3 linked regions of the Drosophila melanogaster genome follow. The protein of the gene in region 1 interacts with the protein of each later gene in a pairwise test. Each region holds a gene or a part of one and is shown in the gene's direction. Other genes may lie near its edges. The genes, in order: CG14932, Ndf and RNF220.

Region 1 (3,419 bases):
TTTACCCATAAATTGTTTTTTAAGTGTAATACCAAACGAAGTTTAAAGGCTTTTTGTTGAGGTAATTAAAAGACTGGACTTAAATTACGAGGAAAACATATACAATTTTATCAAGTTACATTATAGAACTTAATCACTTATATCACTTTATAATAACCACAACATTTTCAGAGCCTTATCGTTTTTTTTTTTTTTTAAATAGTTTTTAATATTTTCACATACAACTCGAAAACTTGTTGCACCATCTCTAAGTGTGACCATTACTTGAGATCACATCTTAACTATCGATATGGCGTTATAGACGATTTCAGTTTGGCGAAAAGTTCCGTTAGCAGCAAGAACAAGAGCAAATGCATTGTAACCACATAATATTAGTACTAAAGTTGTTGTTTTTGTCCCATTGAAAATGGAGTTACGCAGCCGAACAAACAGGAGATTAGTTGACTTCCTCAAAAGTAAGATATTCTAAATTAGACGTCCTTAACATACATACATATATAACTAACTATTTGCTCAGGCGCAGGCGTTTACGAGGAAGGCATGGATATTGAGGAAATGACCGAATTAGCAAGTGTCGTGCAGCAATCAGCTAGTATCAGTCCCCAGGATGAGGATCTAGAAAGGGCTCTGCACGTGGGAAAAGTATTCAGTTAACAATAAACAATAAATAGTAATTAGCTTCTCATTAATGTCGACAGGAGAGCGAGTCTGATTTTTTGACTTCGCATCCCAGTGCTTTGCACAACTCCACGATGATCATGTCGCCGCAAGTGTCCAGAAGAAATCCCTCAGACATGGACAGTCCACCGAGCGAGCCGATCCGTATAACTTTTCGGGCTTTGGTGCACCGTGCCATGGACTGGAGTCCCACCACGGGCAATCAAATTCCCGATCGCAAGCGCATTGCTGCGGATCGCAATCAAAACGTCGAACTAGTTGGCAAACGTTCCAGAGCAACGCCGGCTATCAGCATTGGCCAGGCACCGGAGGATGAGCCGCACAATGCCGACGCCACACCCGTTTCCCCGGGCAACGAATGCGACTCCGGCGTCAGCTGGGAGGAGATATCTTTGTCCAGCGCCAGCGATAGCACCACTCTTCCTTCCATCGGCGAAATGCCCGATCGACATTTAATCAGCACCAGCAGCGTCGCCGTCTCGGATTTCTCAGATGCCAATGAAATCAGCCAGGAATAGGCTATTTCCGCCCATGTCTTGTGGTTTATGTTTCCCAATCGAATGCAGTAGAGATTTTACAATGTTTATAGCCCACATATGTCTAAGAAAGAGTACTCGAATAAGTTAACTATATGTCACATTAAAGGATTGAATTTATTGCATAATTGTGGCTTGTGTTTTTGGTCGAGCTGTATTTATTCCAATTCCAGTTTCCTTAACTATTTAGTCATAAGCATGTCAAGTTCAATAAAAACGAACACCCAATATATAAAAACATTTCCAAAGGTGGAATTAAATTGTGATGGCTTGACTTTACATAAATATGTATAATTACATTTGTATTTGGAAGTTTGTAAATTAAGCCTGTTGTACAACACTGGTACGTCTTTTTATAGGAATTTAAACTTTTTATGTTTAACTGCCATTTTAAGGCTAAACTTAACCAAAATTTTAAGGCTCAAATTTACCAAAACCTTTAGTATAAATTTCTATTTTTACTAAATGTTAAGAACACGTGACTTGAGCTTTAACTGAATTTTATATATTAATTACATATGCTCCAGTAAGTTTTCAACAGTATTTTGATCAACACTGATGTTCTTATTAAACATTCCTTGGAGTGGACACACTGGCCGCACGGCTTTTCACATTGTCATTTTCCAGGAGCTAGGCGTTGAAAATTTGTTAAAAATGTAATTAAAATTAAAGCAGTTCATTAAATATATTGATGGATTATTCATTGCAGGTCCCAATCAAAGGTTCCTCATATTGTGGGCGATGATGATGAATATCAAGAAGCTACGTAAGACTTCATTAATTTAGCTTCAGAAAAACACTGACAATATATGTATTTCCTTTCTAGTGCTCCCGAAAGTGACGAGATTACCTGCGAGTCTTCTGTGTAAGTCTTTTTAATATAATGTTTTGATAGATTATTTTTAAGTTGCCTTATAATCAGGGAAAGTGATCAAGATGATGACTGTTCCAACGAAGATGAGTGAGTAAATTTAATGTTATAAAACAAAATCATTTTTCTTCATTTTGTGAACCTTTTAGTATGGATTTGGATGGGGCAGACTGGTCCCCATATGTCACTTATGAGGCGGGTACACCGTAAGTTATAGTTTCGTAATGTAGAACGTGGAATAACGGGTTCGGATTCTCTACAGAAGACGTCCCCACAGTGCTTTGGAGATTACCGAAATTACCGAGTTTCCGAAAATTCCAAAGAAAAACCCCACCTCACCCGAACTGGTGATACAGAAGCCAGAGACTCCGGATCAAAACGACTCGGGATCTCAGGAGCGTCTCACCTTCTCTCGCGCCAATAATGCGCTATCAGAGTCCATTGGAGCTCGCGTTTCCCAACGTAGCAGGGGCAACTTGGAACCATTCATCCGTAGAATGGCACGTAGCCCTACGCCCGAGGCCTCAGAGGAAAACGGCTCGGTATCACAAGGTCAGCTGCTGGCCAAGCCCGTGGATGTCACCGAGTTCTTTCACCGCATTGCTGTGGGTCTCGTCGAGCAGCGCGTCTGCTTGAAGCCTTTCTTGGCATTGCGCAAACATATTGCTCAACTGGTGGGTCAGACTTTGAAGAAATCCAAGAGGATGCGCCGTTAATCCATTTAACATCCAATGTTACAACATCCATGTAATAAGTATCCTATAATATCCAATAAATAATATATTGCGTTCACCGATTGGATATGAAGTTAACTCAAATTCGTAAATTTAATTAAATTAATATAAAATATAAAAGTAAAATTAAGCACAATATTAGTATCCACACGGTTCGTCGTCCATTTCGGTGCAATTGCAGTAGTTAATATCGGGAACGTTGTCGGATACCAGATCATCCTCGGCAATTGTTACACAGCGCACGTTACACGGATATTTCTGGGGAATGGACTGATTTAGGTGCTATCGATGGATAGTAAATGGATAAACCCACCACCACGACCAAGGGATGTCCATCATCGTCCGTGAGTCCCACATTATCGCAGCCATCGCCCTCGTTCTGCCGGTGAACTATGAACTTGGTCATACAACAAAGCACGATCTAAAAAGATGATTGACTTAGGGAGGTCTTATCTTAAAATACAATTTTGTTGCATATTCAAATTTTTTGATTTCAATATGACTTACGCTAATGAATTTGACAGAATTTAATGAATATGGCTCCAATATTCACCATTGTTCTGACTTTAAAACGTTGCCCATTACCAATTACTTACCAGA
Region 2 (3,757 bases), 1.8 Mb from region 1:
TTAATTGCCCGAGATGTTCTCTAAGGCCTCTAAATAAGTAAATGCTCTGCATTATTTGAGTTCCTTTAACATGTGCGCAAGTGAATAGGGTATTAATTGTCTAAGCAATTGGATCGATACGATCCACCCCAAATTATCCCTTGATAAAGTGAGTGGTTTTCATAAAAAAAAATCAAGGATAATGCAGGAAAATAATATGATAATCGGATCACTTGGAATCTACTCACTCGAATCGGAATTGGATGTAGCGCCGTTGTACATCGCCTCAGTTGAACAGCTGCAAAGATATTTTAATAGTATTACGTACAATTTTATATTATGTTTACAATAATATACCAAGTTAAGGGTCTTCAATCCAAAATGCAATCCAGTCCAATATTTTCTGAAAGTCAAATCAAATGTAAATTAGCAAACATAATTTTAGTTAGAAATAAATACATATTACTAAAATCCTACGTTCCAACTTTCAATATGCGCGAAACCGACTGAATTCCATTGGCAATCATTTCCAATATTCCAACCAATTCCAAACAACATGCTCACACACGCATACATGTACATACCCACTTGTAAACAGAGAAGCGGCTATTTTCAAAGTGTCAGCACAATTGGAAGATCGTAAACAAGAACGGAACTTGAGATTCAAGACACTTTCGTCTGGAAGTCAGAAAAAAGTTAAGTTACGACCAATAGTTCACATATAAATCTATTATACTTGAGTAAGAATAATAAATATTTGCTATTATTGGTCAACGGAACCGACTTTTTTTGCACAGCTAGAATGAAGAAGAGCAGGAAACTAATTCTTGCCTTCCAAATTAATCGATGTTTTAAGCTTTAAGATAAGCTCGATATCAACTTTTATCGGAATGGTCAGATCGGAATTTAAAAAAAAAAACTTTAATTTCTCCCCAACTCAAATTGAAACACACAAACAAATGAATGTACTTAAACCCTTTTTTTTTGCTAGCGAGTATGCGATCAAAACTAGAGAAACATATGTACGTTTTTTCCCTTATAATTGATGGCAATCTGGTCCCAATAAATCCTTCTCACCCATTTCGCGCCTGCTAATTGCCAAACAAAATGCAATAATTCAACCCAAAAGCACGCTTTCTTTTCCTAGCACAAATACAATACCCCTTTAACGGCCGCAATTTCCCTTTTTCACCCTTTTGTTTGCCAGGTCACCCGAAAAGTTTTACCGAGCAGGGTTGTCGCATGACCCCCCGCAACCCACAACCACAGCAGCAATCGCTTTTTATTCTCTTTTTATATGATTGTTTCATATTTATGAGGATTATATGGCTGATGCTGAGTGCTGAGAATCAGAGAAAAATTGAGTTGGACGTGTGGTAATTTATTTTTCGGCTAAGGGGACGGACTTGTAGTTAACTGTTAGTTTTCCGAGCTCAAGATCGCACAGATTATAAAGAATTTACTGTGCAATACTAATTAAATTTATCTTTATCATTATTTTACTTAAACGGAATTTGTATAAGCCAAAAAACAAAATTTATTAATAATCTCCAACTAAAAATGTGTATCAATGAAATTATTTTCTTATGGAATTAAATTTCAATAGTTTATGCCCGCCTTTGTATTTAACATCTAAACATTAGAATTAAATAAAGTATTTAAAAAAAAATTTAGCGTATAAAAAGCATGGATTGATTCCAAGTGCATTTTACGAATTTGCATTGAATCACGATAATAATATTCACTTGTAATACTTAATTAAATAATTTAATTCGGAACCCATATTAATTTACCGAGTTCGAGGCGGGTTGGCAGTCCGATTGCATGACGTAGCAACGCCGCCACTTTCCAGCACTGGCCGATTGCCAGCCAAAATGGCGCCCGCCTGCTATCGCATTGCTCGAGCAGATATCGGTTCGGCAGCGCATCACACACACAACGCGAAAAAAAAAAGAAAAATACGGGTGGCCTGCAAGCGAATATCTCCGAAATTCATTGAATCCCGACGCCGAGATTTGTGCTCCGATCCGAGAAACCCATTAGCTTCCGTGCACCGTCCGCCCAAGCCAGCAAAATAACCAAGTTCAACATACGCCTGGACAACATAATGTCGAAGAATAAAAAACTGTCGCTGTCGGGCGGCGATACGACGGAGAAATTTATTTACAAACCCAAGGATCTGATATGGTAAGCCGGGACCGTGGACTCATCAATATATTCGCTGTATTCTCAGCTGCGCTGCGCCGTGAAGAAACAAGAAAAAAAAAAAAACGAGAGATGAAAATCAAAGCAAACACCTAACCTCAATTGCGCACCGTTGGCGCTCGGAAAAAAAAATATGAAGAAAAAAAGAGCCAGTGAAGTGTGCATAAAAAAGCAATTAGCGCTGCCTTTTTGACAGCCACGCAGCGCAGTATCCATGTAGCTCCATCCGAATGACGACCATAATTCCGGAGCTACGTGCGTGGATTCCGGGCGCGCGACGTCGACTTCGCTGCGTTGGCGCTTTTTTCGCGCGCGCGCCCTTTTTTCTTGCTTTTCCTCCTTGCGGCCAATATGAGTTTTCCCTGTTCTGATAGCGCATTTTCTTTGCAGGGCCAAAATGAAGGGCTTCACTCCGTGGCCAGGAATGGTAAGCATTGCAGTTGGCGATCGGAATGTTTACGCCGCGTCGACGTCGCGTCGCTGCCGCCTTCTCTGCTGCCATGTTGTTGTGTTTGTTTTCGACTGTACTTTTCGATTCAACGCTGCCGGCTTCGCTGCCGCCGCTCTGCCCGCAGCCACGCACTTGCACACATTGCCCCATTGCCGTTGTGGTTGTTGTTGTTGCCGCTGTGCTGTTGTCGCTGCCGGCGGAGGAAATGGTCTCTTCCATGGAGCCGCTATCGGGGGCCACGAGCAGCAGCTTTTGATCGTGTGTACAGCCGCTGGAAAGCAGCATGTGCACTCGGAGGAGGGGGAGTGACGCGCGGCAGGCGTGGAGTTTGAACACAGACGTTGCCAAGGATATCAGTTCCCAGTTTCGTTATTCTATGCCGTTCAAAAGGAGTTTTGTTAATATATTAACTTTTATTTGACATTAACATTCTCATCGGTAATCTTGTGATATACCAATCGGTTCTTTAGAGTTTTGTGAAATGTGCTAATGATAGTGAATCACCTCAGCTAAGGTTTTATCAAATCAAATTGGTTTTGTGCAAGTTGCTAGAAAAATGAGGATATATTTTTAAATCCTTATAATTCCTAGCTCAAATGTAAAGTTAAAGAGTGGTTTTCGATTGAAATTGGAAGTGAAAAAGCAACATTTGCATATGTTTTGTTTCGTGCGTGATAAAGTCTTGTAAATGGGTTATCACAGAATAGATTAGTTCGAGGGAATTCATAGGCACATCCTTATAGAGTAAAATGCATTGTCTGCTTAAAATGTTTCTGAAGACTTTAAAGATATGATGTGGTGGAAGCTAATGTTGATTTCTCTCCTTAGATTGTCGATCCTCCACTTGATCTGCTCAGCCAGCAGCGTCGGGCGAATACCAAATGCGTGTTTTTCTTTGGATCTAGGAATTTGTAAGTAAAATGCACGCCAACCCCAAAAAGCGCCTGTAATAACATGGGTAATATTTAACAGTGCCTGGATTGAGGAGAACAACATCAAGCCCTTCGAAGGACCGTGGAAGGAGGAACTGGCCAAGGTGAGCAAGCCCGCTGCTTTCCGACACGCCATGACGGATATCGAAAAGTACATCGACGACCCCGCCGAGGTGGACGAGCAGGTGAA
Region 3 (3,757 bases), on another chromosome or scaffold:
GTTGAGAGCAGAATAAACTTTAGCTATACTATTTTGACCAGAATTGTAGACATCAATGTAGTATGTATGTTTTGTATTAACTGACGCAATTTACAAAACAATGCGTTGGTACAGTTGAATGAGTTTGGGATTGTTTAAATTGAAATCGCTCTATTGTGCCAGACAAAAACGCGACGGAATATTTCAGTCATCATTGGGGGGCGTATTTTGGCTCAATGACAAAAGACGGAAGCTGGGGTGATGAGGTGCAGTCCCCACATAAATTATGCTGCAAGGCGGACTGCAACTAAGCATTTTGAATGCTGGAAATACCGACATGCTAATTATCCATTCGCATTCCATTGTTATACCCTAACTGAGAGTACAATAGAATAGGTCAGACTTGTGACAATTTATGTACGTTTGTAAAAAAAATATCAGCATCTTGAAATGAAATTTTGAACAAATATTATAAAACAGAGTCTTCTTATTATCGATCTTGCTCAATAGTTGCTAACAAATAGGAAGTGTATCAAAATTTCGTTAAAACTGCATATTATGCCTAATTCGCACGATTCCCTGCCAATTTTAATATCTTCAGATACGCAAACAAAGATGCATATGTTTGTGTAAGTAGATGTTGCGTCTAATGTATCTCAAGATATTTCGACGGGCTAGACGGAGATAAATATAGTTTTACATATAGCGGCTAGAAATGTGGAATAAAAACAAAAACACATTTCGCAGATGAGCGAGTACCGACTTTGTGTGTGTGAGTGTGTGTGTGTGAATGAGTGGCATGGCAACAGGATCATAACGGTTAATTGCTATATAGAACGTAACGGTAACGGCAGGCAAAATTGGGGCAAACGGCCAAATGCAAAACAACAACAATGGCAAGGGCGAGGGAATTCGTATACACGTATGTTTATATATGTGTGTGTGTGTGTTGTGTGCTATGCGGAAGAACGGAAGCAAAACAAAATGCGATCTGTTTGAGTTCAGGAATATACCTTTCCTTGTAATAGTCCAGGGTTACCGATTCGGAATCAAATTCTGAATAATCTGGCAGCGATTCGGCATCAAAGGAGCTCATTCCGCTGAGCGTGTAATTGGGCAAGACGTTCATTTTGTTGTTGTAGCCAACAAGGTTACCCTGCTGCTGTTGTTGTTGCTGCTGCTGGTACTGCTGATGCATAGTTGTTGCTGTTTTTTCTACGTTTATTTTACTATATTTGCCTTATTTAACAATATGGCACACGCACACACACTCACGCCCAGGAGAAACTGGCTGCTATATTTTTTCTCTATTCTCTTTTCGCTGCCTTTTCACACTCTCGCCGTCTGCTTTGCACTTTCGCAAAAATATGCGTCGGTTTTGGGTTCAACCTGTATGCACTTACACTCTGCTTGAAAAGCTCTGTCGCTTTTCCACTTTCACATGTTCCTCGACCACTGACTTTTCTATATAATCAAAAAATAAAAACGACGAAAATAATAATGTTTTGCTTCCCTCATAGAGCTGGAACTTAAATCGATGTTGTCTCGATACTATCGTTTTGGCTGGGCATTTCTCGATAGCGATAAAGTGCCATGGAACTATCAGTTAATTTACATTTACCGTCAAATTATTTAATTTAACGAAGAAAGGAAATTAAAATAGCTTACATTTCGGATGTTTAAACTTTTATCAAAGCGGGGGCTGTGCTTTATAAAAATTTCCTAACAGTGAGGGAGAGACACTATCTGTCACATGTTATATCGGGCATGTAAACAACGCAATCTGATAATATATATATATTGCTGTATTAAGACCAACCAGAGTAGAGTAAAAATTAAGAAATCAGTACGTTTAATTATTTTATTGTAAGACTTAAGGTCAAAAGAGTTGTTGGAATGCAAAATGCAAACTTTGAAGTTTTAATTAACACGGAATTCAAACAAATAATCAATTATTATAAAGATATTTTTAAGTGAATAAAATTTTAATTATTGCTTAAGCATATTAATCACTGTGCTTGGCGCTTTTGTAACGGTTTTACGATGTATATCGCAATGACCACTTCCACTGACACGAAAAATAACGAAATCAGTGTGACCGTTTTCCACCGTACGAGAACGTAAGAAATCGGCGTCGCGTGGCTTGGACAGAGATTATCGAACAAAACAAAATCCGACTACAGAATCTTTTAACTTCGTTTACCCTTAAGAGTCCGCGGTGGATCCGAGGAATCGATGGCTACGGACACGGTGTCCAACGGCGAGAACTTCGCCCAGCACTTGAGCAGAAACAGCGACGACGACGTGATCTGTCCCACATGCGACGTGAAGATCAAGCGCAGTCAGGTGGCCGATCACTGCCAAGTGGAGATGGAGCGATTGCACAATCCCATTAGCGCTGTCACTCCACCGACCCCAACTAGCGGAGCAACCGCGTCCGAGGAATCCGGTTCGGTATCGGGGGGCAGACAACCGTGGAGCGTGTTCCAGCGGGTGCAGCGCAATCGGCAGGCCCGTCAGCGCCAGCGCACCAGGAAGCGTCCGGCTTCTCCTGCCCCACCAGCAACTGTAAATCCTACGGTAGCAGCTGCTCCTCCTCCAGCTGCAGCAACTCCGTCCGTAGCTGCTGCCGAATCGAGCCAACCCACCTGTCCCGTGTGCAACCACAACTTTCCGCAGTCCAACATCCAAGAGCATGTTAATCATTGCCTGCGCCAGAGCCGCCGCAATGGTCAGGCCAATGGTGAGCGGCATTCGAGTGAGGACTCGGAGGACAGCGAGGAATATGAAGAGTACGAGTGGGCGGGACAGAAGCGCATTCGCGTCTCCACTCTCGTGCAAGGAGGCTATTCCGCCCTGGGCCTGGGCCAGAGAATCAAATACAATGGCAGTCAGCAGGCGCAGGACGACGAGGACGAAGATCTCAACGTGGACGAGGATGACACTCACATCTATGGTCCTACGCAGTATGGCGAGGGCGATGTGATCCCACTGGTCAACGAGGACACAGAGGGAAATGTTTCCGAGGCGGATGTTACCAGCTACGTGCGCCGACTTATCTCCTCCAGCGATGGGCCCAAGCCAAACCATTCCAGCGAAGCCACCGAGCAAGAGCCTGCCAGCACAAGCAACGTGGAGGCTCCACCAGCCAGCGAGGAGCCGTCTACGTCGCGGTCCACGCGATCCACCTCCCAAAACCAGCAGCAGATCATCGAATCGCTGAAGGCCAAGCTGCGGCTCTACGAAAAGCAGGCGCAGGGCAAGTACAAGTGCCTGATCTGCATCGACGACTACAAGAATCCCGCCATCTCCGTGTCCTGCTGGCACGTCCACTGCGAGCAGTGTTGGTTGCAGACGCTCGGCGCGCGAAAGCTGTGCCCGCAGTGCAACTCGATTACCACGCCGAAGGACCTGCGACGAATCTACCTGTAGACGTCCATCACAGACTTGTTATCCCCGCTGCCAAATTGCTTGCGCCATAAAACAGGCTTTGCATCCCGACGCAGCTTTAGATGATAATCCCCTATACATATTATTTATATAGATTACAAATACCAATTATACTACGTGACATTACAATAAGCCTACCATGTAACTATTGCAATAAACCGCAGAAAACATAATTAATATTTAAGTTTATTTAACGAAATTAGCATGTAGGAAGGGAAAAGCGTTTAAAGACATGCAAACAAGTTATTTTAAATACCTTATTTTGAACTAAAATAAAAAAGCAATCAATCCAATATTATATCCAATATTATTTTCGAATCACAAAAAT

Evidence for each region.
Region 2: the proteins of CG14932 (region 1) and Ndf interact in a two-hybrid assay, tested with the Drosophila melanogaster proteins (one large-scale study listed by BioGRID).
Region 3: the proteins of CG14932 (region 1) and RNF220 interact in a two-hybrid assay, tested with the Drosophila melanogaster proteins (one large-scale study listed by BioGRID).

Annotation. Positions count from the first base shown.
Region 1 is NT_033779.5:11,788,136-11,791,554, forward strand, and holds CG14932 (uncharacterized protein), read left to right. Parts: upstream 1-1,783; 5' UTR 1,784-1,868; coding exon 1,869-1,870; intron 1,871-1,923; coding exon 1,924-1,980; intron 1,981-2,040; coding exon 2,041-2,079; intron 2,080-2,136; coding exon 2,137-2,175; intron 2,176-2,234; coding exon 2,235-2,291; intron 2,292-2,347; coding exon 2,348-2,801; 3' UTR 2,802-2,876; downstream 2,877-3,419. Other genes in the region: CG14931 (uncharacterized protein), read left to right, coding at 407-455, 518-642, 699-1,196; Tsp33B (tetraspanin 33B), read right to left, coding at 2,958-3,077, 3,133-3,240, 3,416-3,419.
Region 2 is NT_033779.5:10,001,961-10,005,717, forward strand, and holds the start of Ndf (Nucleosome-destabilizing factor), read left to right. Parts: upstream 1-1,871; 5' UTR 1,872-2,086; coding exon 2,087-2,166; intron 2,167-2,349; exon of another isoform or gene 2,350-2,574; coding exon 2,575-2,611; exon of another isoform or gene 2,612-3,083; intron 3,084-3,463; coding exon 3,464-3,546; intron 3,547-3,607; coding exon 3,608-3,757. UniProt on the Drosophila melanogaster protein: Nucleosome-destabilizing factor that is recruited to genes during transcriptional activation and colocalizes with a subset of trimethylated 'Lys-36' histone H3 (H3K36me3)-enriched regions. Binds DNA (in vitro).
Region 3 is NT_033777.3:22,724,727-22,728,483, reverse strand, and holds RNF220 (ring finger protein 220), read left to right. Parts: upstream 1-2,069; 5' UTR 2,070-2,214; coding exon 2,215-3,411; 3' UTR 3,412-3,600; downstream 3,601-3,757. Other genes in the region: CG45049 (uncharacterized protein), read right to left, coding at 993-1,177.